Linked DNA regions of Drosophila melanogaster. The protein of the gene in region 1 purifies or fractionates together with the protein of each later gene. This does not show direct contact. Each region holds a gene or a part of one and is shown on either strand. Other genes may lie near its edges. The genes, in order: Ns2, Nop56, Noc3 and RpL24-like.

Region 1 (8,171 bases):
TAGGACATATATTGATACAATTTATGAAAGCTTATAGTTATTCCAAGATTCAAAAACTGTGAAATCTTTCCCCACACCAACAAGAAGCTTTCACCAACGGCTGGCAAAAGTCGGAAAACTAAAGCACCATTCTCAACGCGGTCACACTTTTTATAAATATTGATTTTTCAGCGCCCCCAATAAAATATTTCATCGAGAAGTAGAGCGCATATTTCTCGCTTACAATATTGGGGAAATCGAAATAAGCACAACTCAAATTGAATCAAATCAATATTACAGCAGTATTAGCATCCCAGCAACCACCATAGGTCTCGCGGAGACAGCCGTCCTGGACATAATGGCTGCTAATTTGCAACAGCAGCGCTCCATCAACTTGCAGCTACGGCGGGAAGTGGAGATGGAGCGTATGCCCGTCTCGGTGGCATGCTCCTTGATGATGAAGTACATGTTGGAGCACGAGGAGGAAGACTGCCTGCTCAGCGGCTTCACACAGAAGGTGAATCCGTTTCGCGAGAAAAGCTCCTGCAGCATCCTGTAGATTCGGATACATCATGATCCGGACCCAATCCTAACAGTATTATCCTATAATGTATACTCAATCACGGCGAAGTTCAGAATCAGTCGTATTACCTATTTGCTGTTCGTTGTAAGTGTGCTGACCTCAATTATGTCTATAAACTAAGTATATACATTGGAAACGGACGAACCGAGAATTTATGGATGTATAAACAAAATACGAGAAACCGTCTTCACCTAAAACGCCTGCATATGTGTGTATGAATATCGTGTATTTTGCTAATCCTGTAGCTCTTTATTGGAGAATTTAGCAAAGCCCCATCCTATATAGATGTTTCCTATTGAGATATTCCTGAAATAAAGTCATGTAACCAGTGATTTTCATGTGAAGGGTATTTGTTTCGATTTACCTGAGGAAGAATTTTCAAAATTTCAGAATGTTCCGGATGAGTGTCTCGCCTTTACCATGGACAATGCGACCAAGCAAGTTCCCATCCGCTAATCCCTACTTTATTTTCTTTGACCACTTTCGGATTAATCTTCAAAAGCGGGACATTTGCCATCTGAAACCGATTTCCTTGGCCAAAATAGCCGGCAGAAAATGGCGAGAAATGACAACCGCCCAAAAATCAGTTTTTGTGCAGATAGCCGAAATAAATCGAGCCAGGCTTAGGGCCCGTGGTCGCCCCAGTGTTCCAGTTGGTAGAGTAAGGCGCTGTCATATTAAAAGAGTTTATAAGGATAGTTCATTTTAGTGGGACTTGGAAAGTTTTTCAACGTTTAACTTAAAATGACACAGAAGCATTAGCAATTCCCGCCACTAGTTCAAATTTTCACGAGCCACTACCAACACTTCTATATCATCGCACAGCTGCTAATTCGACGTTCACCACACTGGCAATAGTTGTGGTCTGTAAAAAAGAGCAATTTTACGAAAGTACAGCATGAGTTCGGGCTTTGTGACTGAAGCTGAGGCGACCGAGCAAAGGCAGAGACGTCAGGAGGAATGGGAGCGTGTACGCCAGCCGGAGGATCCACTAGAACGACCTGAGGAACCCTACGATGGGCGCTCACTTTATGAACGCCTCAAACAAAATAAGGACAAGAAGGACATGGAGTTCGAGGAAGCCCACAAGCTGAGTAAGACTATGCCATAAACAATGCAATCTGGCCATCCTAACATGCGTAATATACGTATAGAAAACCTCATCCGTGGTCTGGACGATGATGAGGTGCAGTTTCTGGAATTGGTCGATGCCCATAAAATACACGCGGAGCGCCAGCAAATGCGCGACGAGGAGCTAGAACTAAAGGATTTTCGCAATCGTGTGGAAAAGCTGCAGGAGGAGAGTGTAGACAAGGTGGGTAAAGTTACAGCAACAATCAATTGATTTTACAATCACCCGAACTTCCGCAACCCTCAGAAACTGCAAGCTGAACTAAAAACCACAGCGAAGTCCGCGGGAGCTTCGGTCGGGCGTAGCACTCAGAAGACGCTGCTCGGCCAGGGCATCAAGAGAAAAAACGGCGAACTGCCCACCACCAGTAAAGTAGCCAAAATCACTGAGAATGAGGTCGAACAGACAGCGACAAATGAAGCAACCAAGGACCCTGCTGATAAGACAACGAACACCACATTAATTACAAACAAATACAACCAGGGGGCCCTAAAGTGCATCGCTATACTTCCGGGCATCGGCTCCTACACGGAGTCTAGTGACTCGGAGGCCAGCACCGATGAGGAGGAACCCAGTATGTGCAGCCGAACCGACTTATGTGGCCGCAAAATTCCCAAGAAGAAGCAGTGCTCAGAGTAGGATCAACTTTTTATTTGGATTCTTAAAGTGTAGTTTTTCCTTGCAAGAAAATATAGCCTAGAGTGTAAACGTAATATTTTACGCGTCCTTCTTTTTGTTTCTATTGCGATTCTTAACATTTGTCGTCTCGTAAAAGTTGCTGCCAATCTTCTTGCGTTTCTGACTGCGCTCCAGGGAGCGTTTTTGCTTTGCAGTCAACCGAGGAGCCTTTGAAGTGCTGGGTCCATCGTCGTCAGAGCTGCCAGCACCATCCGAATCACCAGGTTGTATTTTGGCCACTCGGAATTTACCAGACGATGTGATGGCCAGCTGTTGTGGCTTCTTTGACTTGGCCTTCTTGTGCACAACGCGTTGCAAGTCCTCATTGTACTCGTCCTCCGAGTAAAACTCGTCCGCTCCATCGCTAGACTCCTCGTCCTCTTCACCGAGGTTGTGGATGCGAGCCTTTTTCTTTGCCGCACGCTCGGCCTTCTGTTGCTCTAAAAGCTCTAGATCTATGTGATCAAGATCCTTCACATCTTCCTGCTCATACTCAAGACCCACGCGTATTTTTCGAAAATCTTGGATCTGCTTAAACTCGCGCGCCTTCTTTACAGACTCACTGACGAATGTAGGTGCCTCGGATTTAGCATCTTCGTTGGGATCCTCTGCAACTACTTCCTCCTCCTTACCCTCCTGGGATTTGGGAACTGCGAATCCTTCGGGTGGAACGTAGAAAGGAAGTTTGCCTCGTTGCCAATCGTTAAGCACCATACGGGCTGTTACCGTAACGTCCGGTTCACCGCCTTTTAGCAACTTGCCGGTCTTTTGAGCCAACTGTTCTAAAAAGTGCGTGGATGTGTTCCAGTGTTCAATTTTGTAGTTCTTTGAAATGTACTCCGGACGCACGCGTTTCAGCAGAGAGTCTACGTAATCTTCAGGATTTGTGACGAGCTCCACCCGCACCACACCCTTCAACACTTTCTCGGTGTCAGTCTCCGCGGTGGGATACACCACGCCAGGACAATCGATCAAGAAGATGCGTTTCATTAGCGTTATATACTGCCATACTTTCGTCTCCCCCGCAATTGGTGCTACCTTGCAAACCTTTTTTGATCGTAGCGCATTAATAACAGAAGATTTACCCACGTTGGGATACCCAATGAAGCCCACGCTGATCTGTTTTTTGTCCAAATGCAGTTTGCCCAACTGACGGAATAGATTGATGAGCGCACCTATAAAAATAATTGATTTTTATGACAAATAATTGATATTTTTACTTTATAAACTTACCTTTTCCAAAAGGATGTTGTAGGGAGGCATGGAAGGCAATAGTAGGATATTCGGCACTAAGAATAGCCACCCAACGCTGCGTTACCCACACCGGTACCAGATCAACCTTGTTCAGAATGAAAAATAGATGTTTGTGCGGTTTTTCCTTGCGCAAGAACTCCTCAATGTACTTCGAGCGCGTGCCCATGGGATCGCGGGCATCAAGAACCTGAAGCAGCACATCGGACGCATCGACCACCTTGTGCAACTCGTTCCAGATGCGTTTACTCTGCCCCGCACCGAACACCCAATCACGGACGGCCTTCTTTTCGCCAGTATCCTCGCGGATTAGATCTAAATCCTTAGCTGAATCGTACTTATCGGCCTGGTCATCGGCCGCCTTGCTTAAATCTTCCAGATCGCGAACCTTTAGGCTGACGCGCTTGCGCTGCTTTTTGGGCCCAAAGGTACTGTCGAAGCTCTCGGTGTCCAGCAAATGAACCCTTTTGTATTTTGCTGCCTCGTTCAGTAAAGTTACCGGTAACTGGGATGGCTTCATGATCACCTGGTAGGGATCCTTGACAGCCTTGCCAATCTCATCCTGGAACTTTTGCAAAGCAGTTTGCGAGATAACGCGGGAATTGCTAAACCACTTGGGCGTAGGCTCAACTCGAGCCATTGTTCCAGCAGGCAGGCGCCCCTAAAATAAAGCACATTTCCAGGATTAGTATGAATTATTAAATGGGTTGTGGAAAACATATTCGGCATTTTCTCTCTTGTATTTAATTTTTTCTTTTATATATTTACAACAAGAATGAAAACATAAGATTTGTAATTAAATTATTATACGGATAATAAGTCGTAACAAAATATACTTATGAAATCTTTTTATCTTTTAATGCTTTTAATTTTGAGTCGATCGTTTTAATTGCACCTTTGTGAAGTAGATGATAATTTTGAAAACTAAACAATGGTTATTGGATATTCATGTTGCAATAAATCCTTCCTATGTCTATAAGTGATGGTAAATCTTATGAATCCAAAGATAAGAATTATCGAAGATACATGTTGTAAAGCTAAATCTCACCTGGAAGGGGGCGGGCGTGAGGATCTTTCCAGTGCGATCGCGCTTGGCCTTGAAGTTACGGTACATCTGAAGCCGCTTGATGGTGCCCTTAGTGCGGGGGTGGGCGACTCCCTTGAGACCGCTTTTGGGGCGCTCCGGATTCATGGAGTGGTTTGAGTGGTTGAATCCCTGCGTCCGGGGCTTACCCGGGGTGCTGCGTACCTTTGGCATGGTGTCTCAAGAATGTCGTGTGCCTTGTTTATAAATCAAATCGTATATTTGAACACGATCAAACCAAACCACACGTGTTTTTATATGAAATAAAAAAACAAAGGGATCGTGCGTTTTTCAGCACTGTCTGGACTTAGTATCCAACACTAAAATGCGCTTCAGAAAATATCGACTACGAGGACTGGCCACACTAAAATCCCAACAGTAATAAACACCAGTTTGGGTACAACTTAACAATTATTTGCATTTATTAAATGCAACTATAACCGGGGCACATGTGGTATTTAAATAATTTTTTGCAAATTTAGTGAATTTAAAAAACATGTAGTACTCTCTTAGCTTCTTTCTTTTTGGTTAAATGTTATGGAACTACTATTCCTATTGGGCATATACTTATGACCATCACTGTGTTCAAGTATCAAGCTGGTTTTATATCCGTGTGCCTATGTACATTTGTATCCGCTTGGCCACGAGCTTTGGCTGCACTTGGCAAACTTAATAAATTAAACATTGAATCCTGCCTATTGCAACGATAATATAATCTGATTTAGTGCATTAAGAACGACAAGTAGCGATTATAATAGTAGATTTTAGCATTTGAGCTAAATTTATTTCCCAACCGCGTCTTGGGATTGCGTATGCGTGAGCCAGTACCTGCATGTGTGTGTGTTTTGGAATGTGGCCCTGCACGAAATTCAAATAGTGACCATCCTTGAGATTTTGCATACTGGCAAGATGGACGAGCACACGTTAAACGACCTGTTGGAGTGCTCCGTGTGTCTTGAGCGACTGGACACCACATCGAAGGTGCTGCCATGCCAGCACACCTTCTGCCGCAAATGCTTGCAGGTGAGTAATTGTTGTGGGTTTGCTACATATATATCATATAACCGAATGATTTCATCATTCTATGCCAGGACATTGTGGCCAGTCAGCACAAGTTGCGATGCCCGGAGTGCCGCATCCTGGTCTCTTGCAAAATTGATGAGCTGCCTCCAAACGTCTTGCTGATGCGAATCTTAGAAGGTAACAGCTAACGCCCACACCAACCTAAACTGGCACAGCACAACAGCCTACGCTCAAAATCAAAGAATGGTTGACTTTATGAGTGCGGCAAAGTGGCTTTGGCAATTGAATATGGCGTTTACCTGGTCTTTACCTACCTTTAAACACCCTTTCTTTAATTCTCACAGGCATGAAACAAAATGCAGCAGCTGGCAAAGGAGAAGAAAAGGGAGAGGAGACTGAAACACAGCCGGAAAGGGCCAAACCTCAGCCGCCAGCGGAATCAGTGGCCCCGCCTGACAACCAACTACTCCAGCTGCAGTCACATCAGCAATCTCATCAGCCGGCTCGTCACAAGCAACGTCGATTTCTACTCCCCCACGCCTATGCCCTCTTTGACTTCGCCTCCGGTGAAGCCACCGATCTAAAGTTCAAGAAAGGGGATCTGATACTGATCAAGCATCGCATCGACAACAACTGGTTTGTGGGTCAAGCGAATGGTCAGGAGGGCACATTTCCCATCAACTACGTCAAGGTATCGGTTCCGCTGCCCATGCCGCAGTGCATTGCCATGTATGACTTTAAGATGGGGCCCAACGACGAGGAGGGATGCCTCGAATTTAAGAAAAGCACTGTAATACAGGTAATGCGCCGAGTTGATCATAATTGGGCAGAAGGACGAATTGGCCAGACCATCGGAATCTTTCCAATAGCATTCGTTGAGCTGAATGCAGCGGCCAAAAAGCTGTTGGACAGCGGGCTACACACCCATCCATTCTGCCATCCACCGAAGCAACAGGGGCAGCGGGCCCTTCCTCCGGTTCCAGTTATTGATCCCACGGTGGTCACGGAATCCAGTTCGGGATCCTCCAATTCCACGCCGGGCAGCAGCAATTCAAGCTCCACATCCAGCTCGAATAACTGCAGTCCGAATCACCAAATCTCACTGCCGAATACCCCCCAACATGTAGTAGCTTCCGGATCGGCGTCTGTTCGTTTCCGTGACAAGGGAGCAAAGGAGAAACGCCACTCACTAAATGCTTTGCTGGGAGGAGGAGCTCCATTAAGTCTGCTGCAGACCAACCGCCATTCGGCTGAAATTCTTAGCCTGCCCCATGAACTAAGCCGCTTGGAAGTTTCCAGCTCAACAGCTCTAAAACCCACGTCAGCCCCACAGACATCGCGTGTACTTAAGACCACTGTTCAGCAGCAGATGCAACCGAATTTACCCTGGGGATACTTAGCCCTGTTCCCATACAAACCACGCCAAACGGATGAGCTGGAATTAAAAAAGGGTTGTGTTTACATTGTGACCGAACGATGTGTGGACGGTTGGTTCAAGGGAAAAAACTGGTTGGACATCACTGGAGTGTTCCCGGGCAACTACCTGACGCCCCTGCGCGCCCGCGACCAGCAGCAGTTAATGCATCAATGGAAATATGTTCCCCAAAATGCAGACGCCCAGATGGCACAAGTACAGCAGCATCCAGTTGCACCAGATGTGCGACTCAACAACATGCTGTCCATGCAACCGCCTGATTTGCCACCTCGTCAGCAGCAGGCTACCGCCACGACCACCAGTTGCTCTGTGTGGTCGAAACCAGTGGAGGCGCTGTTCAGCAGAAAATCGGAGCCCAAGCCTGAAACTGCCACAGCTTCGACTACGAGCAGCAGTTCCTCTGGAGCAGTGGGACTTATGAGGAGATTAACTCACATGAAAACACGCTCCAAATCTCCGGGAGCGTCCTTGCAGCAAGTTCCGAAAGAAGCTATTAGCACAAATGTGGAATTTACAACAAACCCATCAGCTAAATTGCATCCAGTACATGTAAGGTTAGATCCGCAATAATAAGTTATCTTTATAGACCAGAATAAAAGTTTAATTGTTTTGTCTCTTCAGATCCGGCTCGTGCCCCAGTCAGCTGCAGCACAGTCAACCGCTCAATGAAACTCCAGCAGCCAAGACAGCGGCACAACAACAGCAGTTCCTACCCAAGCAGCTGCCTTCCGCTTCTACGAACAGCGTTTCGTACGGATCGCAACGCGTGAAAGGAAGCAAGGAACGTCCTCACTTGATTTGGTTCGTTAGGCTTAATTTGAATGCTTTAACTTTTAACTGACTCTTGGATTTTGATTCAGCGCGAGACAATCATTAGATGCAGCTACATTTCGCAGTATGTACAACAATGCCGCGTCGCCGCCGCCACCTACTACTTCCGTGGCCCCAGCTGTCTACGCCGGCGGTCAGCAACAGGTGATTCCTGGAGGTGGAGCGCAATCCCAGT
Region 2 (7,532 bases), on another chromosome or scaffold:
GCTGAGTACGCGTAAAAGCTTGAAAAGCTTATTTCATTTGGCGAGTGAATGTCGCAATTTGTTTATAAACAATTGCTTTAGTTCGCCGACAGTCGTTACCGCCAAAGGAGCGCCATGTGGTCGCGCAGCAGCAGTTCCAAAAGACAAGTGGCCACCACCGATGGTGACCCCGAAAGGGTTTTGGCGCAGGTCCAGGATCTCAGCGACTGGCTCGTCGCCAATCCGCAGATCAACGGATGCAACACCTTCGAGAACCTGCACTTCTTCCTCCGCACCTCCAAGTTCGATGTGGAACGGGCCAAAAAGAAACTGAAAACGTTCTACCAAATGCGGGCGGAGCGCACCGAATGGTTCGATAATCGCGATCCCCAATTGCCCGAGATCCAGGACCTACTCAAGCTGGGCGTCTTCCTACCCATCGGTCCGGATGCCGAACAAAGGATGGTGGTGGTCATACGCACAGCAGCACACGATCCCAAGCTCCACAGCCAGAACAATGTTTTTAAAGTGAGTCATGGAAATATGTACACAGGAAAAAATAAAATACAACGATTTTATGAAATGTCTTAAACTATATGTAGCTAACAAATTAAACATAGTCATGAAGGCGAACTTTTCGTGCTTTAATAAAAAATAACTTAACATTTTAATAATATGAAATACGATAAGTTTCGTCCACATTTTTTCCTCCATATACTTATATCTCCAACCTTTGTTTCCCAGACCAGCAAAATGATATTGGACCTGCTGCTAAAGCTCGATCCGGAGACCTGTGCCCGCGGAATGGTGGCTATTCTGGATATGCAGGGCGTTCAACTGGGGCACGCTCTTCAAATGAATCCGAAGCTCATCAAGAGATCCGTGGAAAGCTGGACCGCATATCCATGTCAGCCCAAGCTATTGGAATTCACCAACGCCCCGCGCCATGTGAACTTCTTTTTGAACACCTTTAGGTGGGTTGTATGTTCTAAGTCAAATTAGAATTTACTATATATTATCATTTTTTTTAGAATATTCATGACGCCCAAGATAAGATCGCGACTTTTCGTGCGTCGTGAAGGAACATCCGTGAGCTGCGATCAGTTGCCAAAGGAACTCGGTGGTCAGGGATTAAGCTATATGGAGCTGTCTGTGAAGTGGAAGCAGTTGGTCGAGGAGAACGCCGATTTCTATGTGGAACAAGACAAATACAAAAGCAAGCTCAAGTGATTGGGGTTAGTGTGGCGGCAGTGATAACAAGGCGATTAGCCGAATGTTATAGATTAGTCGAAAACATTTACAATGCGCAAATGCACAAAGGCGCATATCAGTTGTCATATTTTATGGAAGGGTACTACAAATACTCCCTAATTCCCCACTTAACCATATTTGTATATATTATAAGTCATTACGTTAAACCTTTTTAAAAAAGGTTATTTTCGTTGTGTTAATCATCAATGTTATCTTTTTTTTTTTGCTTAATAAAGTGTCAATACACGATAAACCAAACAAAAAAGAGACGAGTTTATTCATAATATTCTCTTTATTAGTATAAAACGTATCAAAAATGTTTATCAAGTCTACAATTATTATCAGTTATTGGGTGCTGCCGACCGTCGCCTCAAATTGCTGGGGTTTGCATTACAAAATCGCTTGATCCGCTGAACCGCGAGCAATTAGCGATAGTTTAATAGTAATAAATACATAGAATACATACAGAAAGAAAAACGATAAACAAGGAAACACGCATAGTTTGTGAACGTAATATTTGTTGTTTCTCGAAAGCGGGAGGTGTTAGTTATAAAAGGCGTGCTGTTGCTTTTGCTGCTTTTGTTTTCTCCTTTACATATACATATAAATATGATTTATACGTTTTTACGTTTCACATATAAAAATATAGTAGTTGCTCTGGATCAGCAATTAGCCCGCTATAGTTCGGTTCACATTGCCAATTGGCGGTTTTTTGTTTTCTTTTGTTTAGTGGGAGGCACCCCATGAAGCAATGAACGAAACATAAAAGTATTGGCGGTAACTAACTAAAGCGTAATACACGAGTCTGCCAGAGCGCTTTCATCACAAGTCCAACTGCAAGCGCAGACCACCACCACCGCCGCCGGAATCGCGAAAATTCGCGGCTCCATGCAGTGATTCCTATATCTGCCGCTCATCCTTAGCCGTCAGCTTGTCGATGAGCTCCTGCAGCGGGGCCAGTTCGCGCCGCTCAATCAGATTGAACTCCTGCACGAAGAAGATGAAGTGCTTGAAGGACGTGTTGAGATGGGCCTCCTCGCCAAGCGTCACCACCTCTGTGAAGTGCTGGTGGTAGATGTGCGCATACACGCGGAACAGACGCTTCAGTATGGTCTTGGCGGAGGAGTGAAAGTTCTTTGGAAACGGCACGCCGATCTTGGAGGGAAACAGGGTCTCGTCGTCCAGCTGATCCTGCACCCAAGTCATCAGATAGTCAATATACTTGGGCGCGCTGCACTTGATGGGCTTCTTTACGGTCAAACCGTCGGCCCAGTGGTACTCGTATTTCGGACCAGCCGACATGATGCCACAGGTCTCCTCGGTGCAGAACTCGGTGATGGTGCCGTACAGCATGTTGATCTGGTTGAAAAAGTCCACGGCTGCGAAGGAGTGGCAATAAGAATTGGTTATCTTTCGCTAGTTACACTATACTAGACTCACTGTTAACGGCCACCCACTCGTTGAGATCCTCGCCATCTGGAAGGGCCACTGCATTGCGCAGGTTTCCCGATCCCAGCGTGGCTGCCGCATGCTTCATGAGATCATATTGGTGTGTGCCTTCCGGGATGTTCTTCTTGGGCTTGAAGGTCTTGCTGGAACGGGAACCGCTGTGGAAAGAGAAAGGCAATAAGTCGCGGCCCCAAACAGCCCCACTCAGTAAAACATAATACAGTAAAGATTCTATAGATTGAAACGTAAGCGACTTCGTTCAATTTACACTCCCTAAAAGAAATATTTCCTTTTTTTTTCTTTTTTTAAATTCACTGAGGAAGAATGCAAGATATCTTTGAAAAGCTATTTTTTAAACACCGCAGACAAAATTAGGGAAGTTCCACTGTACAAGAGGTTGGGGATATCACCCCAAAAAGGGCAAACAAAGCCGGAAAGTCAGATGTGGGGCGGGGTGATCCAAGCTTTCTTTGTGCTCGAAAGGATTGCAGTTGCACTACGTTTTGCCCCCCTGAGAACTTACAACAAGAAGTCCATGGCATGCAATTGCTGTGCTTCGCCTTTCACTGAGCCTCCAATGGAATTTTCCTATGCGTAGACTTTTCCGGCGAGTGCCACACCGCTTTTTCGGCTCTTCTGTGTCGTGTCAGCAGCTTTATTCCGCCGATTTTTACACAATTAGCGCCGAATAATAATTAAAGAAAAGTGACTGGAATTCGCAGCAGGTTTCTTTCTCTGGTCAATTGGGAAATGACAATGATGGTATCTGTATCTGGCCTCCAGTTGGTCGGTCTGTTAACTAGTGCCGTAGCCCAACAGCTGATGCGAGCGGTTCCAGGAAGTGTGCCGAGCCAACTAGTTAATTCTGTTGTGTTTATAAACGCAAAAAATTTGTTATAAATAAAAATAAAATTGCTTTCACACACAGAGACAGTTGATGAAAGTGCGAGAGGGACAACGCGACAGGTTATCAGGCTATCAACGTGGCCAGCCTGTTAAAATAATTCAGTACGGTACTGCGGTATTTTATCTGGTATGTCCCTAACATTTCGCAATCGGCTTGCTATGGTCACACTTGAAGTAAGCACGTGGGAAAACAACTGTAGCAGCATCGTGGGTGTATAAAAATATATATTTCTTAATTAAATCGGCATATATTCGGCATAGACATGGTAAATATTTCAGTGCAATAATCATATATTTGAATTTTCTGCGGGTTGCCCGTGAAATGAAAATGTTTTCCCTGCGAAAACTAACCTACACACGCGGAGCACCCAAAACCACATGTGTCTGCCACCGCATCAGACTGATAATTTTTCATTTCCCCGCCTCCAGTCGAACCTGTATGTGCTGTACGAGCATGCGGCGGGCTTCTCGCTCTTCTCCGTCAAGGAGTTCGAAGAGGTGTCCATGTTCCTGCCCCAGGTGGAGTCCTCGGTGACGGACCTCGCCAAGTTCAACTCAATTGTTAAGCTGGCTGGATTTGCACCTTTCAAGACGGCCATTGCCGCACTGGAAAACATCAATGCCATATCCGAGGGCATAGTGCCGCAGGATCTGCTCTCCTTCTTGGATGACTTCTTTGCCAAGCTGAAGAAGAAGAAGTGCACCCTGGGTATTGCGGATGCCAAGCTGGGAGCTGCAATCACCGAGGCCATTGGCGTCCAGTGCAGTCACTTTGGAGTGGTTCCTGAGATTCTGCGCGGCGTGCGATTCCACTTCGCTAAGCTGGTCAAGGGTAAGCTACCTGCTTTGCAAGGAAAATCCTCTTTGTCTAACTAAAGCCTCCTCCATCCGATGCAGGATTCACCGACAAGTCCGCTGGCGTTGCTCAGCTGGGTCTGGGCCACAGCTACTCGCGTGCCAAGGTCAAGTTCAATGTTCATCGTTCCGACAACATGATCATCCAGTCGATTGCTTTGCTGGATCAGTTGGATAAGGACGTAAATACCTTCTCTATGCGGATACGCGAGTGGTACTCGTATCACTTCCCAGAACTGGTCAAAATCGTTCCCGACAATTACATGTTCGCCAAGGCGGCCAAGTTCATCAAGGATCGCAAGAACCTCACGCAAGACCAGCTGGAGGATCTTGAGAAGATCGTCATGGACTCCGCCAAGGCTCAGGCTATCATTGATGCCGCCAAGATGTCCATGGGCATGGACATCTCCATTGTTGATCTGATGAACATTGAGCTGTTCGCAGAGCGCGTTGTCAAGCTTTCCGAGTACCGAAAGAAACTGTCTACCTACTTGCACAACAAGATGAACTTGGTGGCACCCAATCTGCAGTCTTTGATTGGCGACCAGGTCGGTGCCCGCCTGATATCGCATGCCGGCAGCTTGACTAATCTGGCCAAGTACCCAGCATCTACAGTACAAATCCTGGGTGCCGAGAAGGCGCTCTTCCGTGCTCTAAAGACCCGCTCCAATACGCCCAAGTATGGTCTTATCTATCACTCCTCGTTCATTGGTCGAGCTGGCCTGAAGAACAAGGGTCGCATCTCTCGATTCCTGGCCAACAAGTGCTCCATCGCGTCGCGTATCGATTGCTTCCTGGAACAGCCGACTAGCGTGTTTGGCGAAACTCTTAAGCAACAGGTCGAAGATCGCCTCAAGTTCTACGAGTCCGGCGATGTGCCGCGCAAGAACATTGAGGTAATGAAGGAGGCCATCGAGGCAGCTGGTCAAGAGGCGGCAATCACTGTACAGTCCGAGAAAAAGAAGAAAAAGAAGAAGCGAGCGGCTGAAGACGAGGGCGAGACGAATGGCGCCAGTAATGGAAACGGAGCAGCCGCCGAGGCGGAAAATGGCAATGGCAACGATGATGGAGAGCCAAAGAAGAAGAAGAAAAAGAAGAACAAAAACAAGGAAGCGGTGGAGGCGTAAATGTCTCTGTTACATTCAACTTAGTTTAAGTCCACACTATTATCTTTTACTTACATGCTTCTTTTGTATTTCCTTTGACCCCCTGATGGATCGCATTTCAAATAATAATAAACATATACTTTGGAGGGTATTCCCACCGGAATTTTATGAGTTTGCGTTTTAAATCAAGAGACTATCATAATTATTGGTTTCAATTGTTTTATATTTCATATTTGCTTTACATTCAATTTATATACAGACACATCGTAACGTTAACTATTGCTAAAATTGTTTGATTTTATTACGTGTAGTATTTTGTTTAACAATTTCAATGTTGGATCGCTCAGCCGTCCGTCCGCGCGTTGTGCTAACGAATCCGTTTAGTACAACCATTATTCAACTACTCTGTGTATTGCATTTGATGACGACTTTCAAATTCCGAGTGGACGATCAGGACGGATGTGGAATTAATGGGTTTGATCCGGAAAATTGCATCGGGGGTAAATTGTTTAACAACGAATTTAGAAACAAATTGCACGTGTCGCAAACTTTGTACAGCAAGGGGAAAGGAAAACGTAAATAATATATAGAACTGACAAGTTTAGCGATCGTGGAAATGTGAATGTGAGAGTGGACATTTTGGGTAGTAGGTTGGTTGGGTTAAATTAGGCTAAAAAATATCATTGAAACAAGTCGAATGCCGACGAGCTATTATTGTTATTATTGCTGTGATTCTGCTGCTGCTGCTGGAAAGCTCCAAAGTTGGCAAATGCTGATTGGTTTTGTGGAATGCTTTGCTGCGGTGCCGGAGCCCCAAAAATGTTCGGACTGGTCATTGGCGACAGTCCAGGGAATCCGCCACCCGTCTGCACATTCAGTGGCGCCTTTGCCGGACTGTTGGTCTTCAGGGCATTCATCGAAGGGGCCGGGGCACTGGGCTTGCCCGACTTGCTCATCAGCAGATTGTCCAGGTCAATGTTCATCTTGCCGCCCTTCAGGTCGCCCGACCAGGTGGCGCCCACAGCGGTAGACTGGACACTGGCAGCGGCGGGGACTGCGCCTCCGTTGGTATTATTGTTATTATTGGTCACCGACATGGGCTGGAGCAGATTATTGCCCGTGACGGCGGGAATGGGAGGCATCATATTGTCTGGAAAAAAACAAATGCAATAATAATGTTATTCGGGGTTTCAGTTTTCGTTTTTATTTTGGTTTCACAAAAAGCTGTTTTAAATATGTGGCTTCGATAGAATTGCGAATGCGGCTACTTGGTGATCGGCTAATGAGGTGGTCACTACTCGGAAGCGTTTGCGCAGCAAATCAAGTGCAATTACAGAAGGAAAGAATAGGTTCGTATCTGTTATGTGGCTATTGCCGTTTTGGATTGGTTTACCTAATGAGTCCGTGGCTGCGGAGGCCGCACAATGCCCGGAATATTGAGAAATGCTTTTCAATTCATCATTATTAAGTACATATGTATGTATATATTTGAGAAATAATATTGGATCCAATGTGTGTGTGGTTTGCAATACAAATATGCAGTAGGAGAAAAACAAATAAACAAAAGAAAGTAGTATAAATGAAGTAAATCCATATATGTATACCTGGAATACAATGGCTTCGAGGGCGATAGATATTTAAAAAATAATTCCTAGAACTGTTGTCTTATTTCTAGCAAATACCTAACTCTCGAGTCTATTATTAGTTTATACAATTATAAGAAAATGTTTAAGGACACAGCGTTAACGTTTGTATGAGAATTGATGTAAAGTATGAAGTAATCTTGTATTTAATCATATATATCATATATTAATTCGGAAATATTTCAGTAAAAAATTGTTCGTTTTTCCGTAACAAGAAATATGCTTAGTGTATTTTAAATACAGTTTTAATATTTTAAATCTCTTAAAACTCTATAGGCTGCTTTCAAAACTTTTTGATGGCCAAGTTAGGCAGCCTGTTCCATGGCGGCTGTATCAAAGAGTT
Region 3 (8,190 bases), on another chromosome or scaffold:
ATTAAATTAGAAAAATGCTAAGTTTATATTCCGCACGATAAGAAATCCGTAAGCAACAATTCGCAACTAGGTGGCAACGCACACAGCCACATGGCAAATATGACCGCCCTGTCTTCGAATCAGCTGTTTGGAGTGCAGTGAAATTGCGATTATGCGATGACAGAATCTTGAATTCCTTTAATCTATACACCAAGGAATCAAAATAAATATTAATTTATTAATACGTCAAGAAACTAAAATCGTAAAAATAATACGAAAGTGCCTAGTTTTTAAAGTTAAAGTTAATATAGAATCTTACAAATATGGTTAAAAATCACCGAACTTCATAAATTCGTTCCAGTATAAACATTCCACTTCAGCTTTGTGTTTTCTATTTAGATTTTGTATGTGAATTGAACTAGTTGTTAAGCTTAAAGTTGTGAAGTACATAGCATAATTTAAGAAAAATGCAGAGTATAGGATGGACGCTGATCATGAAACGCGGCTGCCTCTTTAGTTGCCGCAAGGAGACCCTGAACATAAACGGATCTCGATACACAATCCGCGAAAGGCTGGCGACGGGGTTTGTACCACATTTTTCCCACTATCTCCTCTGATATATCTAATCTGAGTGTTTAAACAGGGGCTTCAGTCTAATCGACCTTGGGGAAAACGCCTCCACGCGACGTAGCTATGCGATAAAGCGCATCACCTGCCACAGCATCGATGATCAGAATATAGCTCTGCGAGAAATCGAAAACTGTCGAAAAATTGACTCGGAAAACGTGATCCGGGTAGTGGATTACGAGCTGAAGGGCCAGGCGGACATAGTTATAAACACAACGAGCACCTTGTTCATTGTGCTTCCCTATTACAAGCACGGATCTCTTGCGGACCACCTTCAGCTGCGATCGCGGAAACAGGACCACATGCCCGAGGCCCAGATCCTGCAAATCTTTCTGGGCGTCTGCGAGGGATTGAAGGCCATCCACGAGGCAATGCCGGTGCCTCTGGCCCACCGAGATCTAAAAACGGCCAACATCTGCCTGTCGGACTCTTTTGAGCCAATTATTGTGGATCTCGGGTCAATGACAGAAGCCCGACTGCAGATTGTGGGCCAGACGGATGCTCAGCGCTTGCAGGACGAAGCCGAGGAGAGGAGCTCCATTGTCTACCGGGCTCCAGAGTTATTTACCGTGAAAACATATTGCACAATTGACGAGCGCACTGACATATGGGTAAAGCAGATCCAAGAGAGCGTTATTGAAGTTCTTCCTTAACATTTCCCTCTTTCAGAGTCTTGGCTGTGTGCTCTATGCAATGTGCTACTTTAATTCACCCTACGATCCCATCTACGAGCGAGGTGACAGCGTGGCTTTGGCTGTGCTCAGTGGGAACATAAACATTCCAGAGGATTCAATTTACACAGAGGTAATAAACCTTTTTTTTATATTGTAAAGGAAACTAATTCCAAATATTTGTCTAGGACATGCACGAATTAATTAAGTACATGCTGCGAACAGATCCAATGGAACGGCCATTCGTGTTTAGTGTTATCGAAAGGACCCACGATCTGATACAGAAACTGGAGGGTCGCTTGTAGCTCCCACTAACTGGATTACAACTCATTTATAGACATTCCTCCAAACCAGATACACCGCTTACTGTTTTTTGACTACTTATTGTAAAATATTTTAAACCTGCTGATTTTATGAAATTATGTGTAAGCAATCAAGCTAGTTTTTTTATTTTATTTTATTGATTGGAGCTAGTGTTCGTCACGAGTGAGTCCTGGACAGTTGGAGCCCAGATCTTCGGCGTCATCGTAATGGGTCCCACACCAATAGCAGAAGCAATAGGCTGTGCGCAGGTAGCCAGTGAGGAGTTCTAATTGCTCCGAGGGACTGTATGGTTCTTGCTTAGGTGGCACCTCGACTTCAGGATCGTCGGCGTCGCTCTGTGATTCATCTTCATCTTTTGGTTTAGGTGGCCAAAAGAAATCGAGATCTGGTTCTGTGATAGCGGACTTAAGATCCAACGATTCGCAGGTCTGCTGGCACCGTTTTATGTCATACTGTAATTTTCGCTCCTCCGCTTTATGGGTCGCGCGCCTCCTATAAGCCTCTGTACTGACTTCCTCGTCGCTTTTAATGCCGGCCTTGTTTAGGAGATGTGCCCTCCGCAACTTCTGCCGCTTGAGGGCCAACTCTGCAACGGCTGCCTCGCGCCCAAGTCCTCCACGACCGCTCTTTATAGTTATCCCCACGGGTTCAGTACGAGCATCCGAAGTTATGCCCAACCCAGAACCGGCTTTGTAGCCCATCTTGGCCAGTAGCTGGAATCCTTTGTTGTCGGCGGAAATTGGTTTGTTGAGGGACTGTTGAAGGCGAACATTGTCTACGTTCCCGGAAGAAGCTGCTGTCTCCCGTTGGCGCTTCTTCAGCTCATCTTTCTTGGACTCGACTTCAATCTGCCGCTTTCTGCCGCGATTGTGCACCAAACTCGGTCGGACATCTTGCAGACTAATGAGGGAAGGATGAGAGTTTTTCATAAGGTGGTTGGTTGTTAGTTAGGTGTGAGTGTAATCTCACCCAACCAGGAATTTGTCGGACATATAATCCTCCTCCTCGTCAGACATCTGTTTGTTTTGTTTACACTTCTCACTTAAGTGTGACCATTGCATAGTTATCTACAGCATTATTTCGATAATTTATAATAACAATGATATCTCTGCTATGAAGATTGAGTTCCGAAAATTGTATTTTATAGTATTGGTTCTGTTTAGTGATAAAAAAAACAGCCAGTTTGTGTCATTTACTTATTTCTTCAAAAACAAAGTATTTTAAGTAAGCGCATGTAAGATACTAAACAAAATACTATCCGCTTCTGAGCAGCTGTTGCGCTCCGCTGACGAGTGGACAGTTCCGTTGGCGTTCCATGTGCTCGTCCCATTCAGAAGGCAACATTTGTGAAAATTAACTATTAGTTGACTAAAACGGGTGCAATGGGAACTGTAAGTGGAAAGTAAAATTATTTAATGCTTATTCTAATCCAAATCATTGTAGAAAAAGGTCAAAATCAGCTCGGTCAAGCGGGCTGCTCACCTGAAGTCGAAAAAAACACCGCTTTCTAAGCAGCAGCAACAAAAACAGAAGCAAAAGCGCGACCAACTGAAATCGAAGCGCGAACAGGGTCAGAATATATTCTCCCAAAAGGCGAGAAAGCGGGACAACTTAGCACAGCGTAAAAAGCACAACAAATTGGCCTCCCTGGGCTTGGATCCGCTCGAGGAAGACAACGAGGATGGCGACGATGAGATGCTTGAAAACGTTGCGGACATGCTGGATGGCGATGATCTTGCCCTGCTCCAGGCTAACAAACGCAAGCGAAAGGCCAAGACGACCGGCGAGAATGATCCTGACCAAGGACAATCCATCGGCTTGGAAAGGGCCTATGCCTCTGACACGAAAAAAGAGCAGGACGCGCAAAAAATAAAGTTGGATTTGCTGCCAATCAAGTCCAGGGATGGTCAGATTATCACCCGTACGACAGAGGTGGATTACATACCTAAGCCCAAGCAGAAAAAGAAGAATGAAGAAGAAGAGGAGGATGATTCCGAGGAAGACGGTGATACGGAGTATGAGGACAGCGATGACGATGTGGTCAATGATGTCGAGGCCGCCACCGCCGCTCCCGTCCAAAAACTTATCTCTACCACGGATCTACTTATTGCCCGGCAGCAGGAGATCGAACGCCAGAAGTATCGCATTGGAATCATTTGTTCCGGGCTGCTCGAAAAGCCAGAGGATAAGATGCGCAACTTTCATGCTCTGTACGAACTCATGGACGAAATCAACCCAGCCAGTCGACAGGCCAACCTAATGGCCGTCAGAAAGCTGGCCATAATCTCTGTCACCGAGATATTCAAAGATATCTTGCCCGAGTATCGAGTGGGTCAGGTCGACACCAAGATGCAGACGCTTCGCAAGGCCACTCTTGATCGTGTAACCTTTGAAAACGCCTTGCTTCAACAGTTTAAAAAGTTCCTGCAGAAACTGGAACAGATCACAGCGCAAGTTAACAGGAGAGGTGGTCTAAGGACGCCTCAGACTGTGAAGTTGGCCACCGTGGCAGTACAGTGCATGTGTGACTTGCTTGTGGCACATCCATACTTTAACTACGTTCAAAACATTGCCCAGCTTCTGGTGTATATGCTGAATTGCAATTATGCAGAGATGCGAACGGCGGTCCATCAGTGCTTCCGCACAGTCTTTTCCAACGACAAACGGTTAGAAATGACTCTTTTTATAGTGCGACGCATCAATCACTTGATCAAAACGAAGCAGAACAATGTTCATGTGGAGTGCATCACCTGTCTGATGGGCCTTAAAATCAAGAACGTAAACCTAGATGCCGAAAAGGAGAATGAGCTAAAGCAAAAGAAGCTTGAGTCGCATCGTCAACGCTTACTAAGCTTGTCCAAGAAAGAGCGCAAAAGACGTAAGAAGCTCACCGAGGTTAACAGAGAACTAGAGGAAACCCGTGCCGAGGAAAACAAGCAAGCAAAGCATCAGAAGCTCACCGAGATCATAAAGATGGTGTTTACCATTTACTTCCGCGTGCTTAAGAACGATCCCACCTCCCGCGTGCTGAGCGCTATTCTAGAAGGATTGGCAGAGTGAGTGGTTATTGTAAATCTCTTTCCTGGAATTTTAAATATAGAGGATGATTTTTAGGTTTGCGCACGTCATTAATTTGGACTTCTTCTCCGATCTAATCGATGTGCTCAACCGCATTCTAGAGGACCAAGACGAGCTGGGCTACCGGGAGCGATTGCACTGTGTTCAGACCATATTCGTTATCCTTTCCGGCCAGGGTGAGGTGCTAAACATCGACCCCATCCGATTCTACCAGCACTTTTACCGAAATATGCTGGCGGTGCAGGCAGGCAAAAATCACGATGACTTCGCCATTATTTTGCGAACTTTGGATGAGGTGCTCGTAAAGCGTCGTCGCAATATGAGCCAGCAGCGTCTAATGGCCTTCATGAAACGCTTGCTTACTGGAAGTCTGCATCTGCTCCATAATGGCACCCTGGCCACGCTTGGCACAATAAAACAAACCTTCCAGCTCACTTCTGTGCTTGACAACCTATTGGATACAGACACTACGATAGGCTCTGGTCGTTACGATCCCGAACTGGACGATCCTGAGTACTGTAACGCAGCAAGCACAGCGCTGTATGAGCTTGCGCTTCTGGCACGTCACTATCATCCCACGGTGCGACGGATGGCCGTTCACATTGCTCATGGAGTGCCAGCAACGGGCGAGGGAGCTTTGCCCACGGAAATTGGCAAACTGTATGTAATAAGACGGCAACTACATATGTGACTCTAACAATTATTACTTTCCTTAGTACCTCCCACGAGCTGTTTACGCAATTCGACAGCACTCAGATGGCTTTCAATCCGACAATACCGCTGCCAAAAGCGGGTCAACCAAAACTAAAAAGGGGCAAACACTTATATATTCGCTCGGACTTCAAACAGGAGTACGGAAAACTGCTGCAGCAAGGAAAAGTTTCACAGACGAAGGATAAACAAACCTTACAAATTGATTTTTTCAGTGCACTTCAATAAAGAAAAATTTGAAGATTGAAGTAGAGTTATAATGACTGCGGAATAGTGTGGAAAGAAATGCAATTTTTAAACAATACCCAACTTGTTTCCCAATATTAAACATTCTTCCAAATACGTTCTCAGTTAAAGGAAGAGAATACCAAGTGTGATACCAGGATTTGATTAGCCAGATAATAATCGAACAAATTTGTTGTTAAATCAGAAAGGTGCGAGTTGGTTTTAAAACATGAAACCATTCATTTGCTTAGAACTTCTCTGTAATATATTTCAATTAATGGGATTTTTACAAGTTATTATGTTTGGAGCTCCTAACATTCTATATAGAGGCTAAGTCTAGAGTCACTAAGAGTAGTGTCATATAACCGGGTACAAGTCCCAGGGGTTCGCCAGAATTTTTCATTCGCTACCTATGCATTGGTGCCTCCTCGTTGTCGCTGTTGTCCAACGCTAGCTGGTGGCAGATACTCTCTATTCCCGCCCGACTGCTGTTGCCCGAATCCAGCCACTGAACTCTCGGGAAGAGCTCCGGCGGCAGTGGCCAGAAGCCCGACAGCAGCTCCCGATGGCGGTAATCGATTGGCTCCAGTGCTCGGGACAATGGCGGGACGAAGGACAGCCCCAGCGCCATACGGGCTTTGGGGCTGAGCGGTTGGGGTGGGCGTGGCTGAAGGATAGGACCCCCGGCCGGAGTTATATCCAGCAACCTGAGACACTCCGGTGGCTCGAAGTGTTCCAGTCGTGGCCAGAGGTGCCCCGAAGGCAGCCGAGGAAGAAGCGGCCGGACGGTAGACGTTGTTGGTATTCGATGTTCTCAGATTGGAGCCACTTCTCTCGGAGTAATCATAGATATAGGCATTGTTCGCATATAAGCTGGGCGCCGAAACGCAGTCGTACTGGTTCCACCACACACAGACTAATGTCTCCTGGCTGAAGACTGTGCCATTGGGACACAGGAAGGAGTAGGTCCGGTTGAGGGCACAGATATGGAACACCTGGCATTGGGCCTCTATGTCCGCATAATAGCCGGGTAGGGGCTGTTGCGCACAGTCAAAGTTGGTGCGCGGCACCTGGGCATAAATAGGATAATCCACTCCAGGAACACCCGGAATGGCCGAGTAGTCTCCATCGGAATCGTTGTAGTCCCCGCTGTCTCCCGTTCCACTAGCAACTCGGATTGGAGATCCACCGGGAGTACCTCCATACTGCGAAGCCTGCGGTCCATAGGGTCCACTGCGAGATGATGGGGTAGATAATCCGCCAGATGAAGTTCTTCTCGGTGGGTTAACGGGGTTTGTGGCTCCTACAATGGCGGGTGCTCCAAAAGCAGTGGTAGCCTGTCCACTTGGCGTAAATCCAACAGCGGGTGAGGGAAACAAGCCTGCTCCATATGCAGTAGGAGCCGGAGCGGGAGTAAGTGGCAGGGCTGGTGCTGTTGGATATGGTGCAGGTGTCAAGCGACCACCAGCTGTGGCTCCTCCTACATTGGCTACCTCGGGACGCCCATAGTTGTATCCACTTTGAGCCTATAAAAGCGCGGATTACAGTTAAGAAAAGAGAATCTCCTTATAGCTTACCTGGACTTGCAACTGGGCTAATCCGCCACTCCAGAGCAACACCAAAACTGGAATAAAGAGACGGGCCAACATTAACGCTTTCTAACCGTCCGTGGAATCTGGCGAAGATCTGCTCCGAGCTGTGGAACTGGCGACGCACCAAATCGAAATGAACGCCCTGGCAGCCATCGATGGCGATGGCAGCGAAGAGTTTCGCAGCCCCTATTAAGGCCAAGTACGTTGTGATTCTGGGAGCTGATAGCGCGGCTTAGATGGTTCTGCACCGCGATCTTTATTTTTCAGCTTCCTACTCCTACATCGGGGGCACAGTGGTCAAAAGCTTCACTATTGCATTTACAGACAATCGGGGCATTTATCAAATTAACTATACTTTAAGCATACAAACTAGAAACAATTTTTTTCGAAAATGTTTAGTGCACAATTGTAAATGCTGTTGCTTGATTCATTTAGAAGATTCAATATGTTTCTTAATTTTATATTTTGGTTAATCTCTTCATTGTGAATTGAGTTGCATACACTGTGCCAGTTGCTGAAATAACGCACTGCAACATCAATTGGCTTGCAAGAATTGCGGCAGCCGGTGGGCCAAAGGCAAGACGCATGCCTCGTAAATATGCAAGGCAGCAAAAACTTAGACAGACAGACGCCCCTACAAAGGAAGTGCTAATAGTGATCGGAATGATGGGCCGTACAGCCGATCGCTCGTCACTGTTGAGTTACGCGCCGCAGTGGGTTGGGTCTGGGTCAGCGCCGACTGGTTGGCCAACTCACCTGCCAAGACGCACGAACAGCGTTGCAGGGGCACTTGCATCATGCAGCAGGAGATTCCGAGCGGACGAGCTTATCCGAGTCTAATATTCGGCTTATCCTTTTCGACCGGCGACCTGTGAACTGTCCAAAACTTGGGAAGTTACTGCGGGCAAGCTCAGAACGATCTTAGAAATATATACGAATTTGAAAGCGCGACTTGGATGCGGCATCTTTACCATATTTATGTG
Region 4 (6,359 bases), on another chromosome or scaffold:
GCAGTCGCCACCAAAAGAAATTGGGCGATTCTGGCCGCAGGAGTTGGCTTGGTATACGTCCTGGTGCGGCACAGGCACCGACTGCTGTGTCCACTGCGTCGCGTCTGGTCCTTCGGCAGCCTGGTGCCCCAGCGACGCATAGAAGTGATCAACTCCGTCCAGGATCCGACCACGCAATGGGTTTTGAATGAACTGAAGAAGTAAGTAAAAACCACTTTAATTTCACGACAATGGAAATATATATATATATTCTGCCTCTTAGTCACTGCCAGACTTTTAAAGTCCTTGGATTCGATTGCGAGTGGATCACCGTGGGCGGCAGCCGCAGGCCAGTGGCCTTGCTCCAATTGAGCTCCCATCGGGGTCTATGTGCCTTATTCCGACTGTGCCATATGAAACAAATACCCCAGGATCTGCGGGAGCTTCTCGAGGACGATTCCGTGATCAAAGTGGGCGTGGCACCCCAGGAGGATGCCATGAAACTTTCGCACGACTATGGAGTAGGCGTGGCCAGCACACTGGATCTGCGCTTCCTCTGCGTAATGGCAGGCCACAAACCTGAGGGACTGGGAAAGCTCTCCAAAACTCACCTGAACTATACACTGGACAAGCACTGGCGCCTGGCCTGCTCCAACTGGGAGGCCAAGACTTTGGAGCCAAAACAGCTTGATTACGCTGCCAACGACGCACTTATGGCGGTGGCCATTTATCAAAAATTGTGCAGGGATCTGCAGCCAAAACACTTTTGGCAACGAAGGCAACTGGACGACAATAGCATGCACAACAAATTCGAACCCTTTCTCGACGTGGACTTCACGAAAGGCTTCACACTCAACCCGTCCGGCAGCGGAGTAACTCGTTCAAAGGGCTCCACCCAATCCAAAAGCAATAAATGGGTGCCCAAGAAGCAACCGTACCGGCAAATAGCTACCCGAACCAAAGACTTCTACGATAACTGCCTGCTGCAGGCGCCCGATGGCGAACTCCTGTGTACAATTGACAGGCGCAAGGCGTCCTGGTATCTCAATCAAAATCTGGGCACGCATATAAGCGAAGAGCCCTTCACTGTCCGCCTTAACTTCGAGCCAGCGGGTCGAGCGGTCGGAGATGTGGGGCGCTTCTATCAAACAATCAAGAAAAACCAGTGCGTGGTGTGTGGTGACCGGGATGCGTACATTCGGAAGAACGTGGTACCGCGGGAATACAGAAAGCATTTCCCATTGGTCATGAAATCTCACACCTCCGACGATGTGCTGCTCCTGTGCCCAACCTGCCACCAGCTAAGCAACATCTCGGATCTAAGGGTTCGCAGCAAACTGGCCGTGCAGTGCGAAGCTCCTTTCAAGCAGGAAGACGGATCTGTCAAGTACCATGATGATCCGCAGCTCAAGTAAGTATGCCATACATTTTCAGAACTAAGTTAAAAGTAAAAGTAAATTATACATTGCGAGGAATGTAGATTGCCTTATCAGTTATCTTACCAGACATATTTTGCCTCTTTTTTATCACCTAACTTTCCAAAACATACCCTGATATATGATAAAATTAATCTCCATAGAGTTCTCAATGAATCTGAATTGCATTTTATTATTTCCAGACGAGTCCAATCCGCTGGCAAGGCACTACTTCATCATGGCGCGAAAATACCCGCTGCAAAGAAGGCCGAAATGGAAAAGACTCTCCTCGATTACTACTCCGATCAAACGGACATCACAGAAGATCTCCTGCGGCAAGCAGCCAGCGTGGAATATCGCGTAGAAAACTCCGACTACTGTCAGCATGGCGAGCGGGTGGTGCAGCAATATCGCGATCATTTCGGCGGCCTGGTGGAGCTGGAGCGCTTATGGCGGCAGCACTTTCTGCACACAATGCAGCCCCGCTTTTTGCCCGAACTCTGGAATGTCAACCACAATGCCGATCGACTGGAAGTTCGCGCCAGCGAGGGTCGCATCGATAAAGCCGATCTTATGGTGGCCGGATTGGATGCGAAGATTAAAGAAACGTGATGCAGGGCTTTTCTGAGTTTGCCACCGGCTTTGTACGTTTTATATTTCAATTTTAATAAAAATAAACTAAAATTTTTTTTTGTGCTATGGTACAAGACGGGACAAGGAGTCACGGTTCATGAGGCAGATGAGCATCTCTGGACTAATCTAGGTGACTATAAATATAAAGCTTACCGTATGGGACAATAATACAATATGTACACGTTTAAAACTGAAGCACCTGGATCGAAGTAGAGTGGAGTGCGGTAGCTTGGAATGGCGAGCTAAATGAACTCGAATCCCTCATACTTGTAGTCCGTCTCGATCCTCGTTTCGGGCAGCAGTGTCTTGCCCGCAATATCGAAGGCTGTGATGAAGGTGGCCGTCTTGCCATTCAACTCCTCCGACTTAAGAGCCACGATTATTGAGTCATCGGTGCCGGGCAAGAACTTAAAGCTAGAGAAACCATGCGTGGGCGTTGTATTTTCAGGATCGAGCCGTACAGTCTCAACGTTGGTGAAGCTTTCGTCGGCGGAGACCAGGACATTGCAGCCCATGTGCTCGTCCTTGGTTTCGTTGTATCTTTCAAAGATAGATCGATGAGTTAAGGATTTAAAGGCTGACACGCTTACTCACTTCTCTTTCGAACACCGCCTAGGCAGGAAAAACCAGCGATTCCTTTCCTCTGACCAGGTTCCACTCTCGTGGATCATGTAGCCCGGCCAGGTTATTTGCATCGACTGCAGGCGCAACTGCTTGAAATTGTCCACCCAGTTGAGCGACCTCACCTCGCCGGACGGAGTGATGGCCTTTACGTACATGGGGTTATTGTTCTCGAAATCACCCGCACTTGTCGTCCACTCCTTGCCCATGGAGCCCACATACAGCGTTTGCTCTTTCACTGTGGCCCATTCGGCCTTGAAGCCCTTGGCACTGTGTCCGTCTCCATCGAGCAGGATCACCCAGGGAATGGGCTTGTCATTCACAATCTCGTATATCAAACCCGTTCGGTCGTCGAAGGTGAGCAGGCGCCCGTTGAAGGTGACTAGCTCAGATAGCTCCATTCCGCGGCCCTTAAGGGCAAATGCTGATTCCAGGACTATCGGCGCCCCGTCATCCCAGCTAATCTGGATCTCTGACCTGGCCACCGTGTAGGTAAGGTAGCCCTTCTTCAGGTAGCTACGCCACGTGCTGCTCCCATCGCCCTTGCTCACCTTGGAACTGGTGTCCAGATCGGCAATCATGGCTATCCGGTAGTTTATCACACCGCCACGCAGCACCATGGGTGACGTGAGCGGATATGTGGCATTGTAGGCCTGGACCACTGGACCACCATTGTCCAGACTCCGGGCATCCGTGTAACTGCGGCGCAGCCAGTAGCCGTCGGAGGAGGAGTGCGATCCCTGGCGCGCAAAGTAGAAGAGTAGGACGAGTACGAAGGCGCAAACAATCAGAAGGGCGAAGTGATAGTTAAAGCGCACCGTCCGATTCCCAATCCGGTACGTGGGCGTCCGCAGGGCCGATCGCCAGTCGCGCATGTACATGGCGCGCGGCGAGTGTTCTGCGTGTTCCCGGTACGCGAAGGCAGGGCTCTGCATCTGGTCGCACGTCAGCAAGATCTCGTTCGCGGTGATGTGTCCGATTTTCTTGGTCTGCTGCTCTGTTTGTTTGGATGCTGGCGGTGTGACCAGCGCATGAGCGGGCGATCAGCTGGCGCAACAGCTGGTGCAAACTGGCGAGCGCATGCGATGTTATCGAGAAACAGGTGCAACAATTCAGTTTAAGTTAATGTAAACATACTGGGAAAAACATGATTTGGACAAAGACCGAAGGTAATTGAAATTATCAAAACAATACAACTGTCAACTGGTATCGCAGTCACTTGCAATTTATACGTATTTCTTGCTTGGATATTTTTTGTCTACATCTAGCTATTTTCCATGTTAGCCAGTGTTATCGATAAGCAGTGACTGGTCGCACTGCTGACTGCCGATACATTTTCATATTTCTTCTTCTTCAGCAGCACACGTGCTAGCAGCTTGCGCATTTGTTTTGTTTTCGTAATTTATCCGTCGTAAATTGCGAAAATGCGCATTCAAACGTGCTATTTTTGCTCTAGCAAAATATACCCGGGCCACGGGGTGCAATTCGTGCGAAATGACTGCAAGGTAAGAACGATTTGCTTTCCTGTTTACATGTGCTCCGATGTTTATATTGCTTCGCCATATTCCGTCGCAGGTCTTCAAGTTCTGCCGAGGCAAGTGTCACAAGGCCTTTAAGCGCAAGAAGAATCCCCGCAAGGTAGGATGGACGAAGGCGTACCGCAAGGCCGCCGGCAAGGAGCTGGCCATCGATCCCAGTTTCGAGTTCGAGAAGCGCCGCAACGTGCCCATGAAATACAGCCGCGAGACCTGGCAGAAGGGTCTGGAGGCCATCAAGCGGGTGACGGAGATTAAGGAGAAACGCACCAGCCACTTTGTCATGGAGCGACTGCGCAAGGGTCGCCAGGTCGAGATTCAGATGGACGTCAAGGATGTGCAGCGCAACATGTCCCTGATTCGCTCCCCAGCCGCAGGGCTGAAGCAACGACGTGCCCAGGAGGCGGCAGAGGAGGCCGCCCTCATGGAGGAGGATCTGCCCGAGGAGAAGATCACCTACGTGGATGCACGCGAACTCGAGAAGAAACTGGAGGAGGGAATGGGGGTCGAGGATCTCGAGATGTTAGAAGCCTAAGGACGAGTACGCTGATTTTTTCTTAGTTTAAGTTGCTGCTAAAAAATACATTATATAAAAACCCCGTGGTACATAAATGTTGTCTTTGGTTGTTATATATTTTCAAATCATTTGTCCACTTCTCTGTCAGTATCCTTTTGTTCGGGGGACTCCAAATTAATGGTTACGGGTCCATCGTTTTCTATGTGCACTTGCATGTATGCTCCAAATTTGCCATCTATTATAGTAAGTGAGATTAAAACATGACCAGCTGGAGTGTTCCTATCACTCACCTTTAATCTTGGTGCTATCGTAGGATTGACCTAGGCGATCCAAAAATTGATTGTACAACTCCTGCGCCTCCTCGCCCTTCATGGCAGCCAAAAAATCCGGTTTGTTGCCCTTAAGGCGGTGATACAGTGTAAACTGCGAGACGCACAGCAGTTCTAGGTTCAGATCCTTCACGGACTTTTGCCAACGCTTGCCCTCCTCCTCGAATAAACGGAGAGCCAAGATTTTCCGGACACTTGAATGGTAAGCTGTGTTAGGTGGTCTAAACCTAAGGTGGTTATCACCAGAGTGGAATTTACCTACAGATACTCAACATCCTTGGCGGTGTCGCTGGCCTTGATTCCCACCAGCACGCACAGGCCTGGTCCAATGGAGGACACCAGCTCATCCAACACTAGGGGAGCAGTATAAAATTATATGATAGATGGTAACTATTTGATCCTGCATACCCGTCACTTTGGCAGCCTTAACCCTTTGTATAACCGCACGCATTTCTTAATTATTCTATTTATTTACCACTTATTTAGATCTTTGTCAGTGCTGGTAAACTTGACACGAGCAGTGTTGACCGTCGCCCCAAGAATTCAAAAATATCGCGCATTTTCTGGGTAATAAACATATAACAGTATAATATAAAAATAACATAATAAATATAAAATACAGTACAATCAATAATATAATTTGGTTACATGCTGGGAGAGTCTTTTTGAGCTGGAGGGTGGAATACTTGCTGGCCCTTTGGAAAGATTAAAATTGATCTACATATATGTTAAATTCTAAAAACAAATTATCTATGCTAGCTCAGTTACAAAACAACTTGGGCCTTCACTAGGTGAATAATCAAAAGATGAATTCCAATTCCGAATAATATATATTCATCTAAATCTCAAAATTGAGAATTTGCTTAGATATGTTATTGTCTTTTAGAATGCAGGAGTTTTCAAAGCTACAAATTCATCATTTGGTATTTCTCACAGCTAGTAAATCCCAGAAACAAGGGGTTACTAATGTGTTATTGCTCGAGGGTTGGGATATCACAGAGGCGTTGGCGCGGCGCTTAGCTGGAGCTTCATATCGCACAGTTTCTTGATGTGAACCTGACCGGTAAGCTCCGCCTGCCGCAGGATTCGCCGGATATCCGCCAATCGATCGTGCTTGTTGGCCAGCAGATAGGCGGATTTAAGCTGCCCAATGTAGATGTAGGAGGAGACTCGTAGCTCCACGCTGCCGATGCGTTTGATCAACCGATCCAGCATCTGTTTCGTCTCCGGCGCACTGCTGTGCACAGCAGCATTAATGGCAATCGAGAGTATTTCATCGGACTCCGTGGAAATGTCTCCGCCGTTGTTGCTTCCTATGCAGTCCAGCAGA

Evidence for each region.
Region 2: the proteins of Ns2 (region 1) and Nop56 purify together in Drosophila melanogaster (affinity purification with mass spectrometry, with the first as the bait; one large-scale study listed by BioGRID). This does not show direct contact.
Region 3: the proteins of Ns2 (region 1) and Noc3 purify together in Drosophila melanogaster (affinity purification with mass spectrometry, with the first as the bait; one large-scale study listed by BioGRID). This does not show direct contact.
Region 4: the proteins of Ns2 (region 1) and RpL24-like purify together in Drosophila melanogaster (affinity purification with mass spectrometry, with the first as the bait; one large-scale study listed by BioGRID). This does not show direct contact.

The regions. Positions count from the first base shown.
Region 1 is NT_033778.4:17,563,448-17,571,618, forward strand, and holds Ns2 (nucleostemin 2), read right to left. Parts: upstream 5,010-8,171; 5' UTR 4,882-5,009; coding exon 4,672-4,881; intron 4,285-4,671; coding exon 3,606-4,284; intron 3,548-3,605; coding exon 2,412-3,547; 3' UTR 2,334-2,411; downstream 1-2,333. Other genes in the region: CG43324 (uncharacterized protein), read left to right, coding at 338-538; CG46428 (uncharacterized protein), read left to right, coding at 990-1,271; CG14480 (uncharacterized protein), read left to right, coding at 1,461-1,656, 1,717-1,877, 1,941-2,333; POSH (plenty of SH3s), read left to right, coding at 5,617-5,730, 5,799-5,907, 6,075-7,719, 7,787-7,966, 8,026-8,171.
Region 2 is NT_033777.3:22,417,273-22,424,804, reverse strand, and holds Nop56 (Nop56), read left to right. Parts: upstream 1-3,736; 5' UTR 3,737-3,848; coding exon 3,849-3,851; intron 3,852-4,014; coding exon 4,015-4,417; intron 4,418-4,482; coding exon 4,483-5,567; 3' UTR 5,568-5,710; downstream 5,711-7,532. Other genes in the region: pinta (prolonged depolarization afterpotential (PDA) is not apparent), read left to right, coding at 115-507, 724-953, 1,011-1,209; mats (mob as tumor suppressor), read right to left, coding at 2,131-2,609, 2,671-2,837, 3,203-3,216; lqfR (liquid facets-Related), read right to left, coding at 7,495-7,532.
Region 3 is NT_033777.3:7,241,677-7,249,866, reverse strand, and holds Noc3 (nucleolar complex protein 3), read left to right. Parts: upstream 1-2,897; 5' UTR 2,898-2,983; coding exon 2,984-2,992; intron 2,993-3,044; coding exon 3,045-4,657; intron 4,658-4,715; coding exon 4,716-5,339; intron 5,340-5,395; coding exon 5,396-5,618; 3' UTR 5,619-5,635; downstream 5,636-8,190. Other genes in the region: CG1227 (uncharacterized protein), read left to right, coding at 447-562, 623-1,217, 1,276-1,410, 1,466-1,582; CG10053 (uncharacterized protein), read right to left, coding at 1,748-2,501, 2,571-2,617; CG14607 (uncharacterized protein), read right to left, coding at 6,026-7,141, 7,193-7,239, 7,964-8,006.
Region 4 is NT_033777.3:11,429,203-11,435,561, reverse strand, and holds RpL24-like (ribosomal protein L24-like), read left to right. Parts: upstream 1-3,979; 5' UTR 3,980-4,072; coding exon 4,073-4,153; intron 4,154-4,223; coding exon 4,224-4,718; 3' UTR 4,719-4,822; downstream 4,823-6,359. Other genes in the region: Exd2 (exonuclease 3'-5' domain-containing 2), read left to right, coding at 1-200, 263-1,390, 1,598-2,006; CG5276 (uncharacterized protein), read right to left, coding at 2,270-2,567, 2,622-3,583; Dtd (D-aminoacyl-tRNA deacylase), read right to left, coding at 4,826-4,935, 4,991-5,223, 5,292-5,382, 5,438-5,480; Sptz (spastizin), read right to left, coding at 6,023-6,359. UniProt on the Drosophila melanogaster protein: Involved in the biogenesis of the 60S ribosomal subunit. Ensures the docking of NOG1 to pre-60S particles.